Linked DNA regions of Caenorhabditis elegans. The protein of the gene in region 1 interacts with the protein of each later gene in a pairwise test. Each region holds a gene or a part of one and is shown on either strand. Other genes may lie near its edges.

What was found.
Region 2: the proteins of cyk-3 (region 1) and ruvb-1 interact in a two-hybrid assay, tested with the Caenorhabditis elegans proteins (one large-scale study listed by BioGRID).

Annotation. Positions count from the first base shown.
Region 1 is NC_003281.10:6,018,153-6,025,431, reverse strand, and holds cyk-3 (Ubiquitin carboxyl-terminal hydrolase cyk-3), read right to left. Parts: upstream 5,274-7,279; 5' UTR 5,221-5,273; coding exon 5,148-5,220; intron 5,101-5,147; coding exon 5,030-5,100; intron 4,990-5,029; coding exon 4,836-4,989; intron 4,788-4,835; coding exon 4,671-4,787; intron 4,622-4,670; coding exon 4,385-4,621; intron 4,339-4,384; coding exon 4,074-4,338; intron 4,028-4,073; coding exon 3,865-4,027; intron 3,819-3,864; coding exon 3,215-3,818; intron 3,100-3,214; coding exon 2,849-3,099; intron 2,802-2,848; coding exon 2,399-2,801; intron 2,355-2,398; coding exon 1,471-2,354; intron 1,424-1,470; coding exon 1,274-1,423; intron 1,225-1,273; coding exon 1,132-1,224; intron 1,085-1,131; coding exon 1,013-1,084; 3' UTR 773-1,012; downstream 1-772. Other genes in the region: tbx-7 (Putative T-box protein 7), read left to right, coding at 22-342; npp-10 (Nuclear pore complex protein Nup98), read left to right, coding at 5,884-6,097, 6,146-6,346, 6,395-6,850, 6,897-7,123, 7,169-7,279. UniProt on the Caenorhabditis elegans protein: Ubiquitin-protein hydrolase which cleaves ubiquitin from ubiquitinated proteins. Plays a role in embryo osmoregulation.
Region 2 is NC_003283.11:9,977,996-9,982,769, forward strand, and holds ruvb-1 (RuvB-like 1), read right to left. Parts: upstream 2,808-4,774; 5' UTR 2,702-2,807; coding exon 2,636-2,701; intron 2,589-2,635; coding exon 2,493-2,588; intron 2,416-2,492; coding exon 1,704-2,415; intron 1,647-1,703; coding exon 1,189-1,646; intron 1,140-1,188; coding exon 1,041-1,139; 3' UTR 796-1,040; downstream 1-795. Other genes in the region: tofu-1 (Schlafen-like protein 1), read left to right, coding at 3,406-3,441, 3,489-3,693, 3,746-4,070, 4,125-4,680. UniProt on the Caenorhabditis elegans protein: Possesses single-stranded DNA-stimulated ATPase and ATP dependent DNA helicase (3' to 5') activity suggesting a role in nuclear processes such as recombination and transcription.

The DNA.
Region 1 (7,279 bases):
CAATTTGTTTATGTCTTTCAGGTAACGAAATGCAAAATCGATAACAATCCTTTTGCAAAAGGTTTCCGAAACATTGATACAGTAAGAAAACGGAAGATGAACCAAATTATAAGCACTCCTCCTGCATCCGAAGACGAAGAACCAGAAGTTAAAAGAACAAAATCTGAAATAGAAGCTGTTATGTTTTCTGATCCAAAAGTACCACAAATGTCTCTTCAGTTGATTTCTCAGTGGCAGGAAGCACTTTTATCAACAATAGTTCAAATTCCTATCACTAATCAAAAATCTTCTTCGGAGAGAAAAAGTGGATTTGGAGTTGTTGATTTGTTAGGAAGTTCTTGAAATTTTGCTTTTATTTATTCTATTGATCTCAATTCCTATAATTTTCTGTTTTTTTCTAATATTTCTGTGTATTAACGGGTGATAACCACTCAGAATTTCCAATGTTTCAAGCAATACATTTTTTAATGCAAAATTACGATTCTTTCTACAGGATCCACACAATTAAACGATTTCTTATTTGTTAAAATCCAGACACTACAGAGTCAACTACAGTAACCCAAAAGCTTCAGATTAAAGTTTTCAGTGCAGTTTTTATAATCGAAAGTTTAGCATCTTGCAATTTTTTTCTTGCAACGATTTTTTTTCGAAGTTTCCGTGAATCGACTGGCAAATTAAATCACACCCAAACTATTGCGCCACCTTTTCTCTGGAATTGAGAAAAAGACCGAAATTTCTGAAGATATAACGAAGAAGGGAGAAGTACATAACACACAACAATTAAAAAAAGTTCATCCGGTAGTAGAAAGAAGTGAAGCATTGGAAAATTATGGAAACTGTACGGGAAAAGGTGACTAGCACATAAATTGAAATAAATAAATATTTACAGTAAACATTTGAAGAATAACAACCAGAAAGCGAATAGAATCAAGCGATATTTGTCATTAGAATTCTTAGATAGATGGCCAGGTAGTTTGAGCTTAAAGTTTTGTAGCAAATGGAGATTTATTTATTATTTGACATCTTTTCTCTCGTAGAACAGAAGATATGCGCCTTGTTTGTCAACTTCTTCTTCAGATACTTCCTGAAATTTTTTCCACTAATTGATTATAATAAAAACCTTGAACTTACTCGAACCGAACAGTCATTCAACAGAAGCCATTTGTCCTCATTGCTCTTTGCATAGGCTATGAAATGTCCACAGGATAGTTGTCCATAGTGATTCTTAAAACATAAATTTTTGAAGAAATTTAAGTTTGTATAAGTTTCTTACAGCGAGTGCGATGCATTCATATGTATTTCCGTCGGGCTTGTCAACAAATGGAGCTGGATCGAAGTGCTTCAACGGGAAATTCACCGTTCTTTTGCACTTTCCCATTCGACCTTGTTCGCGGAGAAATTCGAACCGTTTGAGATGAATTATCTGAAATTTTAATAATTTTAAATAAAAATTGCGCCATAGCCACTCACCAAGTACTTCGGAAGCTTCCAAATAGTCATCACTTTGTCTCTCATCGTCTTCTTCTCACAACGGTCACATTGAATTGCTGCGTCAAGTGTCTCAGGGCATGAGAACTTCTCAATGCAGTGCTCCAATGAGCTTGGAGCAAAGTGCCTTGACCAAGTTTCGGCAACTGAAGGATCATCTTCACATGCTTGCTCCTGCGAGTGATTGTATCGAAGGTAGAGAGCGATTGGAAGCCAATCCACTGCAATCGGACAGTTGGCAGGAATGAATACTTTGCTCTCATCTGGACGGATTGGACATCCTCTGCAGAATCGGAGAGCCGGGCATTGCCCACACCATTCATAATTCGGATCAACCAAACATAAAGTGAATGGATATCCTGAATTCTCATCTTCACATGGATCATGAGCTCTACTCGAGGAGGAATTCACAGAGTGTTCCATAAATCGATGCATTTGATACATTACATCTTCGTATAATTTCTTTCCAGTTACTTCTTCGTCCAATCCAACGATCAAAGGAAGTCCAAAACGAGATACTATGAATCCGGCAGTTGAACCAAGAATGTAAGGTTCATGGTTATACTGAAGCTTCCTATGCATCGCAACTCGCCACTGATCTTCACCTGTACTTTCTGGTAGCTCTAAAGCGTAAAGTCTTGCTCCAGAAGGGAATGAACTCAGCGGCAGCTCATCGCGTAAGTTTGAACTTCGATGATTTGGGGATCGGCTCATAAGCGTTCCTTTACTGGACATACACTGAATCGTTAGATGTGACATCGAGATTCCACTTGATACGGCAACCACTTCCCGGAGATTTCCAACCTTCGAGTCACGTGACAATCGGAAACCATAGCGACGCGGGATTCGCCCGTCTCTATGTACAACTGAAATTTCCATATTTTGGTGAACCAAATTGTGTTATTCTTACCAATAACTTGATACAAATCAACATCTTCAAATCCAATTGGCAACGACAACGATGTGAATGGCTCGAAGACACTCGAGCTCGATTGACAAGTTCGGCAAATTAGGCGGGAACGGAGTTGGCCAGTGAAGAGCTGTGTAACGAGTGACTCATTTTGTTTTTCGTACTCCGTCCATGATCTTTCAGCTTTTTCTTCATCAGCTTCTTCTTTATCAGCTTCTTTCTTTTTGCTTGAATCCGACAATTTATTTGAATCGGTTCCTTCAGATTCTTCGGGAGATGGATGAAGACTTTTGTTAGATTCATACATTGAAGTGTGAAGCTGATCCAGCAAGAATGCTACAAATTCTTGACAATCATGCTGCTCACTACATTCAAACATATCCGAGCTCAATCGAATAGCATCCTATAAATTTGAATAATTCATTTTCAACTTATAATAACAAAACTCACATTAAAATCATTCGGAGCAATATTTTTCTTCTTCGCTGCCCACATTTCTCTGAGCAGTTTCGCATACTCAATTGTCGTCTCTGCCGCATCTCCTCGCCTCAAGTTCCCTCTTTTGATAGCATCCAAATTATCCTCATCCAAAAAATATTGAGTGAGTGGGGAAACTCTCGCAAGACACTGGATTCCGGCGTTACGGTAACAGAAGTTACCGTAGTTAACAAGACCAACTGCTCCTGGGCGACCTGAAGAATCTTATGGGAATTGATTGACAATGAGAGCTTTTTGATAATTGCGATTTTTTTGTTTTTTGAGAAAAAAAACATAAACTATTTATGTGCTTTTAATAAAGTCGAATAAAAGATTTACCTGACAATTGTGCATTCGAGGATAAAGTAGAAGCAGCAGTGATTTGTTTCCCGGAAAGAGATGCTCGTAATTCTTCTGGCCACACTCCTGTTCCTCTTTCTCGTACTTCCAGTAAAAGCTTCATTTTATTCACTTTTTTCGTTTTCCCTAGTGACGAGTATAATTGATGTAGATTTTGTGCTCCATCGTCCAAAAGTACATTTCCTTCTTCATTCTCCTTCACAACTTGCCAAAGCCTTGCGTCTCCATCTCCGAGTCGAAGTTCTGTCTTGCACAGCGCGAGAAGCTCATCCACAGTCATACTTCGTGATACTTGAGCACACGCCCAGGATGTCAAGGATCTTGGAGTGTTTTCTGTACCATCCTGGCTCTTCTTACGATCATGGCCCAGAAGGAGAATTTCGAGTGGATACAGTTCAAGAGCGGGCTTGTTGTCTTCAAAGAATTCACCATCCAGATACTTTCTTGTGAATTGTGAATCTACTGTCAGTGCACATCCGTGCCATCGGAGCCATGCTCTCCAAAGTGGAACAGGCACTCGGATGTAGTCAGATGGAATAAGATCGGGTTTCAGACGAGCTGATTCAGCTGAAATGCAAGCAACCTGAAAATTAATTAATTCTTTACTTTTCCGGACTAGAAAGTCAAACCTTGCTGGTCCAGCTATCTTCTCTTGTTCCCTTGATACCAGAATTATCGATTGGATTCGGATTTTTATCTGCTTCCAGGAAGGATCTGAGCTCAGCATGCCATCCTGAAGCTACAATGTTCCACTCGGAAAGTGGAAGCTCAGAGGCACGTTTTTCAAATTCGCTGAAATTCAAAGTTATTTAAACTGAGAATTGAAAGCTACACTAACTTCACAATTTGTAATTCCATTTTCCGTGACTCTGGTCTCAATCCGAGACAAATGTGTCCGATTTGAAGAGCCATAGAATAATATTCATTGACATATTTTTCGTTTTCCTGTGCCCATATTCCAAAATCAACGAGAGCAGATTTCCCATTCGATGATTTTGTGACAGTCTGATGTTCTTCTGGGACATTAAGATCTTTGTACATGTTAGAAAGTTCTTCGTCAGACAGAAGTTTGTCACAGTCGACGTCCCAGATTCGTGCCAACTCTAAAACAACTTTTTAGTTTCTCAAAATAATTTCTTAAAAACTCACGAGAAATTCTCCCTGGTAGAGGTCCACGACAAAGAGCCGAAAGTGTACAAACGAGCTCTCTGAAGTCAATTTGACCATCTCGATTCTCATCGAAAACAGCGAATAATCTCTCAGCATAACTATCCGGGAAGCATCCACCCAATGCTTGTTTCCACTTCTCTTCATTCAGTTTGCAGACAGCTCGATCACTGATCGTGGCGAACACTTTCTCTAACTCGATAACCTCGTTCACGGATACTGAAAAATGGTTTTTGAAATACGGAAATCAAGATAATTTAAATCTTACAATGCGTCACATAAGACATCACTTCGTAAAATGAGATATAGGAATCATTGAGCGGAATCGTAAGCTTAGGAGGACTCAATCCCCATGACGCGAACTCGTGATATTCTTCGATAAACCCTGAAAATAAATAATTTAATATTATTTCTGAAATGTTTCTTGACTGACTCGATTGTACTTCTTCTACTCTACACAATCCAACAAGAGATGAAAGCAAATTGTCAAAGGAAATGGTTTCAGCGCCATGAGAGAAGAAGCTGAACAGCAGGCGTCGTTTTTCTTCTGGTATCTGCGCGCCTCCGAGAACATGATAGCAGAATTCCTTAAATGGTGAAGTTAAAAAAATAATTAAAAACAGTTACGTCATAATTAATGCATCCATTTTTGAAGCGTTGGAAAGCTTGGCGAATTCGTCGATACTCCTCGTCCGATACTAAAAATTTGAGTTTATGTTTGTTTTGTAACATCCCTGAAACTCACTATAAGTTTTAGCATCTTCCGCACTGATAATCGGTGCGATAGCGTTCGAACGTCCAGTTAACGTGTTACCCATTTCGGATTATGGCATTTGAGCATCTGAACCAGATTTTCTTGCCGAATCTGAAAGAAAAAATGTAAAAATCAATTTATTTGAAAAGAAAAGCATTTGTAAAAGTTTTTCAGTGGAGACCGACTTTAGAACGATTATGGAAAACAGTTTATTCCAATAAACCCCACGAAAAAACACGAATTGCGGGAAAAAATAAAAGACTTGTCGAGAACTGTCAAAAACCCTCGCGCAGTGAGACAGTGTGTGAACTTAAGAGACGCAGGGTGTATAATGCAAACTCGCTCTGTTGCGATTTCAGAATCACTTCGAAAAAATTTTTGCATTCGAAATCATTTCGCTCATTTTTTCATCTCGAGTTTGGTTGTAGAAGTTGTTCTCCCATTTTTTGTGTTATTCTTGCACATTTTCAGTCATAAATATGTACCTGTAACCTGATCAATCAATCAATGTCCGTCTAGTCGCATTAGCGTGCAATTTGAGTGTAGAGTAATTCCGATTTGGAAATCCTAAAGTACATTTTCAAGTAAATGCTATCTTTTTGGTTGTATGAAAACTTGTGACAGCTCTTAGCAGAATGTTCATGACAACCGCCTTTCATTCACTGCAAATTATTACTTGCTCATCGCTTCATCTATAACCGTCTCATCAATTGCAAGTTTCAGCTAAATGTTCGGCCAGAACAAATCATTCGGCTCATCGAGTTTTGGCGGTGGCAGCTCTGGGAGCGGTCTATTTGGACAAAACAACCAGAACAATCAAAACAAAGGATTGTTTGGTCAGCCAGCCAATAACAGTGGAACTACTGGCCTTTTCGGGGCGGCACAGAACAAGCCGGCAGGATCAATCTTCGGAGCGGCCAGCAACACTTCCAGCATATTCGGTATTTTGATCAATAATTGTATGCGTTTGATTTATTTTAATATTTTAGGAAGTCCGCAGCAGCCTCAGAACAACCAGAGTTCATTGTTCGGTGGAGGGCAGAACAATGCCAACAGAAGTATCTTTGGGTCAACTTCTTCAGCAGCTCCCGCAAGCAGTTCCCTATTCGGTAACAACGCTAACAATACTGGAACCAGCAGCATTTTTGGTTCCAATAATAATGCACCATCTGGTGGAGGTCTCTTTGGAGGTAAACAATTGATTTTCGATAAATAAATTAATCTTGTATCAGCTTCAGCATCGACCGTATCTGGAACCACTGTTAAGTTTGAGCCACCGATCAGTTCTGATACTATGATGAGAAATGGGACAACTCAGACAATTTCCACGAAGCACATGTGCATTTCTGCAATGTCGAAGTACGATGGAAAGAGTATTGAAGAGCTCCGAGTGGAGGATTACATTGCAAATAGAAAGGCTCCCGGAACAGGAACGACTTCCACTGGCGGTGGGCTTTTTGGAGCATCCAACACAACAAACCAAGCTGGAAGCAGTGGGCTTTTTGGATCAAGTAATGCTCAACAGAAGACTTCTCTGTTCGGGGGAGCTTCGACGTCATCTCCATTTGGTGGGAACACGAGCACAGCAAACACTGGAAGTTCATTGTTCGGTAACAACAACGCCAACACGTCTGCTGCAAGTGGATCTCTTTTCGGAGCTAAACCAGCGGGCTCGTCACTGTTCGGATCTACAGGTAAGAATAAATCTAGCATCAACACAATTTTTAACCTTAAACTTAGCTACAACAGGAGCTTCAACATTCGGTCAGACAACTGGATCGTCTCTTTTCGGCAATCAACAACCACAGACGAATACTGGTGGATCGTTGTTCGGGAATACACAGAATCAAAATCAATCTGGGTCCCTGTTCGGCAACACGGGGACGACTGGTACCGGACTCTTCGGCCAAGCTCAGCAACAACCACAGCAACAATCGAGTGGATTCAGTTTCGGAGGTGCCCCAGCGGTGAGTTAAGATATCCTAGAATTTCAATATTTTATTAATTTTCAGGCGACAAATGCTTTCGGTCAGCCGGCTGCTGCAAACACCGGTGGAAGTCTCTTCGGAAATACTTCGACAGCCAATACTGGCAGTTCGTTATTTGGTGCGAAGCCTGCAACA
Region 2 (4,774 bases), on another chromosome or scaffold:
GTCATATAATCAAAAGCTGATATGTTCTAATCTTCTACTTAATCTTTAGCCTGAAAGATATAAGCATGTGTAACGTAAGTCAATGTTGCAGTTTTTGAAGGAATATTCAAAAAACAGGTGGAATTTAGAAGCTCTTTTAGCATATGAAAAGTTATTGGTTCGAGTACTTTTGCACCAGGGGTGTGCGGCAAATCTCAAAATTTGCCGAGCTCGGCAAATTCGGCAAATCTACTTTTTTGAAATTTGCCGTGCTCGGCAAATTCGGCAAATTTGCCGAGCTCGGCAAACGGCAAATTCGGCAAATTCGGCAAATTTGCCGCACACCCCTGTTTTGCACCCTTACTAATAATTAATGATGGGAAAACTGAAAAACTCCATACTTCCATATTCTGAATGTGTCTATAAAAATTGCTAATAAGTCTATAACAAAAAAGAGAACGAGACATAAACACAGAAAGTTTGCAAAAATGAGCATACGAGTCTACTTCTTGTGCTCGGGGGGCTCCAAGCAAAAGCTCTCCCAGAAGACGTTTGTCTTCTCCTTTCGTCCTCGTTTTCTTTCCCCCTTCTTCTTCGTTTTCTCAAAGAGGAGGCGAATAGAGCGAGGAATAAGCGAAACGACGACTGCTGAGGACTATGTGCTCTGTCAGAATCGATAGAGAAACGGGAGAAAAAGAAGGGAAATGCCGCGGCGTCAGGGACGTGGAGAAGACGTATTACGAATTGCCGGGGTCCCTCTTTGTCGATTCTGTGCACTATGCACTCCTTCCGCTTTGGTGAACATTACGAACAATTCTTGAAACCGTTTTTTTTCTTTTTAGGAACAGTATAAAAATAGGAATCGAACAACAAATTGGGCAAAATGGGGGATCTATCGGAACGAAATAACAAGATCCTCAACATGTGGGGAAACAACTGAGGAAAGATCGAGAGGAATGAGATAAGTTGTAGAAGAAGAAAAATAATTTTAAAAAACAAGAAATGAATTGGCGAAAAATCAAAATTGGAAAACCGAGTCGTTGTGCGGATATGAATGGATATCACTTCTTATTTTTAGGTTGTCGCATCTCTTCTTCGGCCTTTTTCAACGACTCCCCACGATCCATGAACAATTTGGTACAACGGTCCACGTCCTCTACCTGAATAGCGATTTATTTAATACATGAACTACAACATTCTGCAACTTACTTCAATGACCTCTCTTCCACACGTTTGAGCACAAAGACGAGCTGGAGCAATCAATTGTAACGCATATCTCAATGATTTTTCAGCTCCAACTTTACTTAGAAGATCAAATGCTTTTTCTTCGAATTGAACATTTTCAGCTTCGGTACGATGAACGAGAATCTTCCGGATGTCTTCTTCGTTATACTTCATCGTTGGAATAATCATCAGCCGATCGAGCATTTCTGGAGGAATTCCATGTGGTGCCTTATCGCCGAGTCCACGAACTGTTGTGGTTCCACGGTTAGTTGCAAAAACCACGACGGGTGCCATTGGGGACTCGAGCGCGCGATAGAGATAGGTAAAACATTCTACGTCAAGCATATGAACCTCGTCGATGAAAAGAACACCAGGCATTAGTTCAGCCACTCCACTTTCAATGTATTCGTTGACTACTTTGTTGATTTCAGAACGAAGACGATCTAAAAGACAGAATAAAAATTGAAAGGTTCGAGTTTTAATGTTTATCAATCACTCACCAGTAACTTCAGTTTTCTTTGGAGTCATCAGCTGTGAAACAATGTTACTAACATCTCCTTGACGTCCTTGTGGACGGGCATTTGCGATATCCAGATCATGCAAAGACACGTTTTGAACAATATCTTTAGACTTTCTAACATCTCCTTTCGGCATTGGCACAAACTCGTCAGCCTCGAGGTCAAACTCAGATGCATATACATCACACCGTCCAACTCGTTTAACGATTCCTGAGTTCGCTTCAATATAGATGACATCACCAACTTCTACTCGTTGCTTCAAAATCGAGTCATAGATGCTTGGATCCAATTTCAGTTGCTTGCTTCCTTTTGCTGTTTTCAAAGAAAGGACAAGATGAGAGATGGTTTTTCCCATTCCGGAATTATCTGAAGCTTCGACGGGGCTCAACTCTGTAACTTCTCCCTCGTACACATCTTTGGTTTCCTTAACACGCAGACCAATAGCTCTTCTGAAACTTCTCATGAGCACTTCCGTTTTCTTTACTTCATTGGAAAAGACCTCGCTTGCAACAAGTGGCACAAATGGAACGCCGTCACCCAACTCCTGTGACATTGCAAGCGCGATTGCAGTTTTTCCAGTGGCGGGTGGTCCAGCAATCAATACAGCTCGTCCGGCCATACACTTCAATCGAATCATATCAACTACAATTGATGCAGCTGTTCTGGCGGGTGCTTGGCCAACGAATCCAGCAGCCTGTAGAAATAATATTTTATTTAGCATAGGCTTTATTTCATAAGTAGTTATTGAAATTGGACAATTGAAAAAGAAACCTCATAGTGAGCTTCTTGTGTTTCTGTGTCAATTCCGAGTCCCTTGACGTGACTGTGAGCCGCAATGCGTTTAATTTGCTTTGGAGTTGGTTTTACCTGAAAAATTCGATTTAAAATACTAGGTTTTTCAAAAATTAGCTCACTTCTTCGATTGGTGCAAGTCTTGAAGAAGAAGTACCAGATATTGCCTCATCGACTTCCATATCCATTATTTTACGAAAGCGTCAGCGTGAAAATAGAATGAAAAATAGAAATTTAGGGAAAGAAAATAAAATTCGAAAATGTGTGCAGCCATCTCATTTTACGCACAAATGCAGACAAACAGCAATGGAAGGAGACCCGAAGAACTCGGGGGATGTCCAACTGGGGGGATTACCAACTCGGGGGATTGGCCCCGCCCACAGAACCGTGGCTTGCATTACGCCCATTTCTGCAACTGCCGCACGGTTTTAAAACTGTATTTTTCTCAATAGAGCGAGAATTAACAAGAAAAAATAATTTTAAAACCGTGCGGCAGTTGCAGAAATGGGCGTATTGCAAGCCACGGTTCTGTGGGCGGGGCCAATCCCCCGAGTTGGTAATCCCCCCAGTTGGACATCCCCCGAGTTCTTCGGGTCTCAATGGAAGGGAAAGAGGAAAAAGAGATAATATTCTTATTTGAAGTAAATGTCAAATATAAGCCGAGAGTAACTTTTCTAAATAAAATGAATTTGCGAAAGTTGTATAATCACCAATAGAGATCCCAAGAAATTAAAAATGGCATTCCATTCGGGAACCTGTTAATGTAAAATAGCAATGTACCTTTAAAGTACGGTAGCACAACTTTGAGACAATTATCTGGAATTTGTCCCAAATCCTGCTCCCTCGACAATCCTTCGAAATCGAATATTCTGTCTCAGTTATTTTTGGAACAATGGCTGCGCTTTTTGAAGAGAATGATTCTTATTCGGTGAGTTTCTGGATTAACAAGAATAAAGTATAATTCAAGAATTTTAGGATTCCGAAAATGAAGAAGATTTTAGCGGCTTTTTGAGTGAAATCGAAGAAAATGAAAACGAGGATGAATTTGAAAACGACGATGAGTTTGAAGACGATGATGAGCTTGAAAATGTGGATGAACTTGAAGATGACGAATTATCCTCTGAAGAAGTGGACATCCCTTCCGAAAATGAAGTAATTGTCGAGCTTCACGATGGTCAAGGTGAGCAGTTTTATAGTTTTTTGCTCTTTTTCTGTAACAAAATATTTTCCAGCCGAAGTGGAGGAATCACTTCTTGATGCTCTTCTTGGAAAAGCATTGGCAGGAGATCAGATGAATTCTCGAATTGAAGGACTCTTCGAAGACTTGGACTCTTCAGTTGAACCTGATATCATCGATCGCAGCGAGTTAGAGGATGTGGACAGTGGTATTAGTGTTGGAGCTGTTAGTTCTTCCTCTGCAGAAACTCAAGCTTCTGATGCGAAATGCAAAAATAAGGATGCTTTCGACATGTCTTCACTTAAGAAGTATATGCAGTACATCACCGAAGAAGAGCATGCCGTATCAGTAGAAGATATTCCAGATTTTGCTTCCAAAAAGTAGGTCTTGAAGCTTTTCTGAATATTTTCTATTTCAACTCTTCATCCTTCCAGAAATGTGTATGGAACCAGCTTCAACGTTCGCAACGGAATCATGTCTCGTCCACCTCGTTTCGAATTTGCTCGTCACGATCAACGCTGGATCGATTCATGTGTATCCATGGCATACGAGAAAGACAAGACATTGAAAGAATTGATCACACTGGGAAAGTTGACAACAACTGTCAAGGCTGGAGCCAAAATTGAATTCAGAACCAAATTCACGGATGTTCATATTCGAAGTGCGGATGAAATTAACTTGATGGAGACACATGACATCCAACAGATAATCCGTGATGCATTGAATTCAAAGCGTCTCGCCGTGGTTCTCTTTGGTATTGGGAAAGACGGAAAAGTTACTGGATGCCACATGGGTCCTGGTCAACAAGATAATCTGCGTCTTGCTCTGGATACTGCTGTTCAAACCGAGTTTGCACCTCCAATTGAGAATATTCTCGACGTAGTTGACATGAACTTCGTTCCAGTTGAAGAAATGGATGAGACGTTTCTGATTGTCATTCGAGTGAAACAACTCCGTAATCAAGTCTATCGTTTAGAATCATCTGTTTGAAGTTGTTAATCTTCTGTTTTTGTTTTGTTCGTTGTTTCGCTTAATATCGCCTCCATTATATCTGTATCATGAAGTTTTGTACCAATTTCTGATT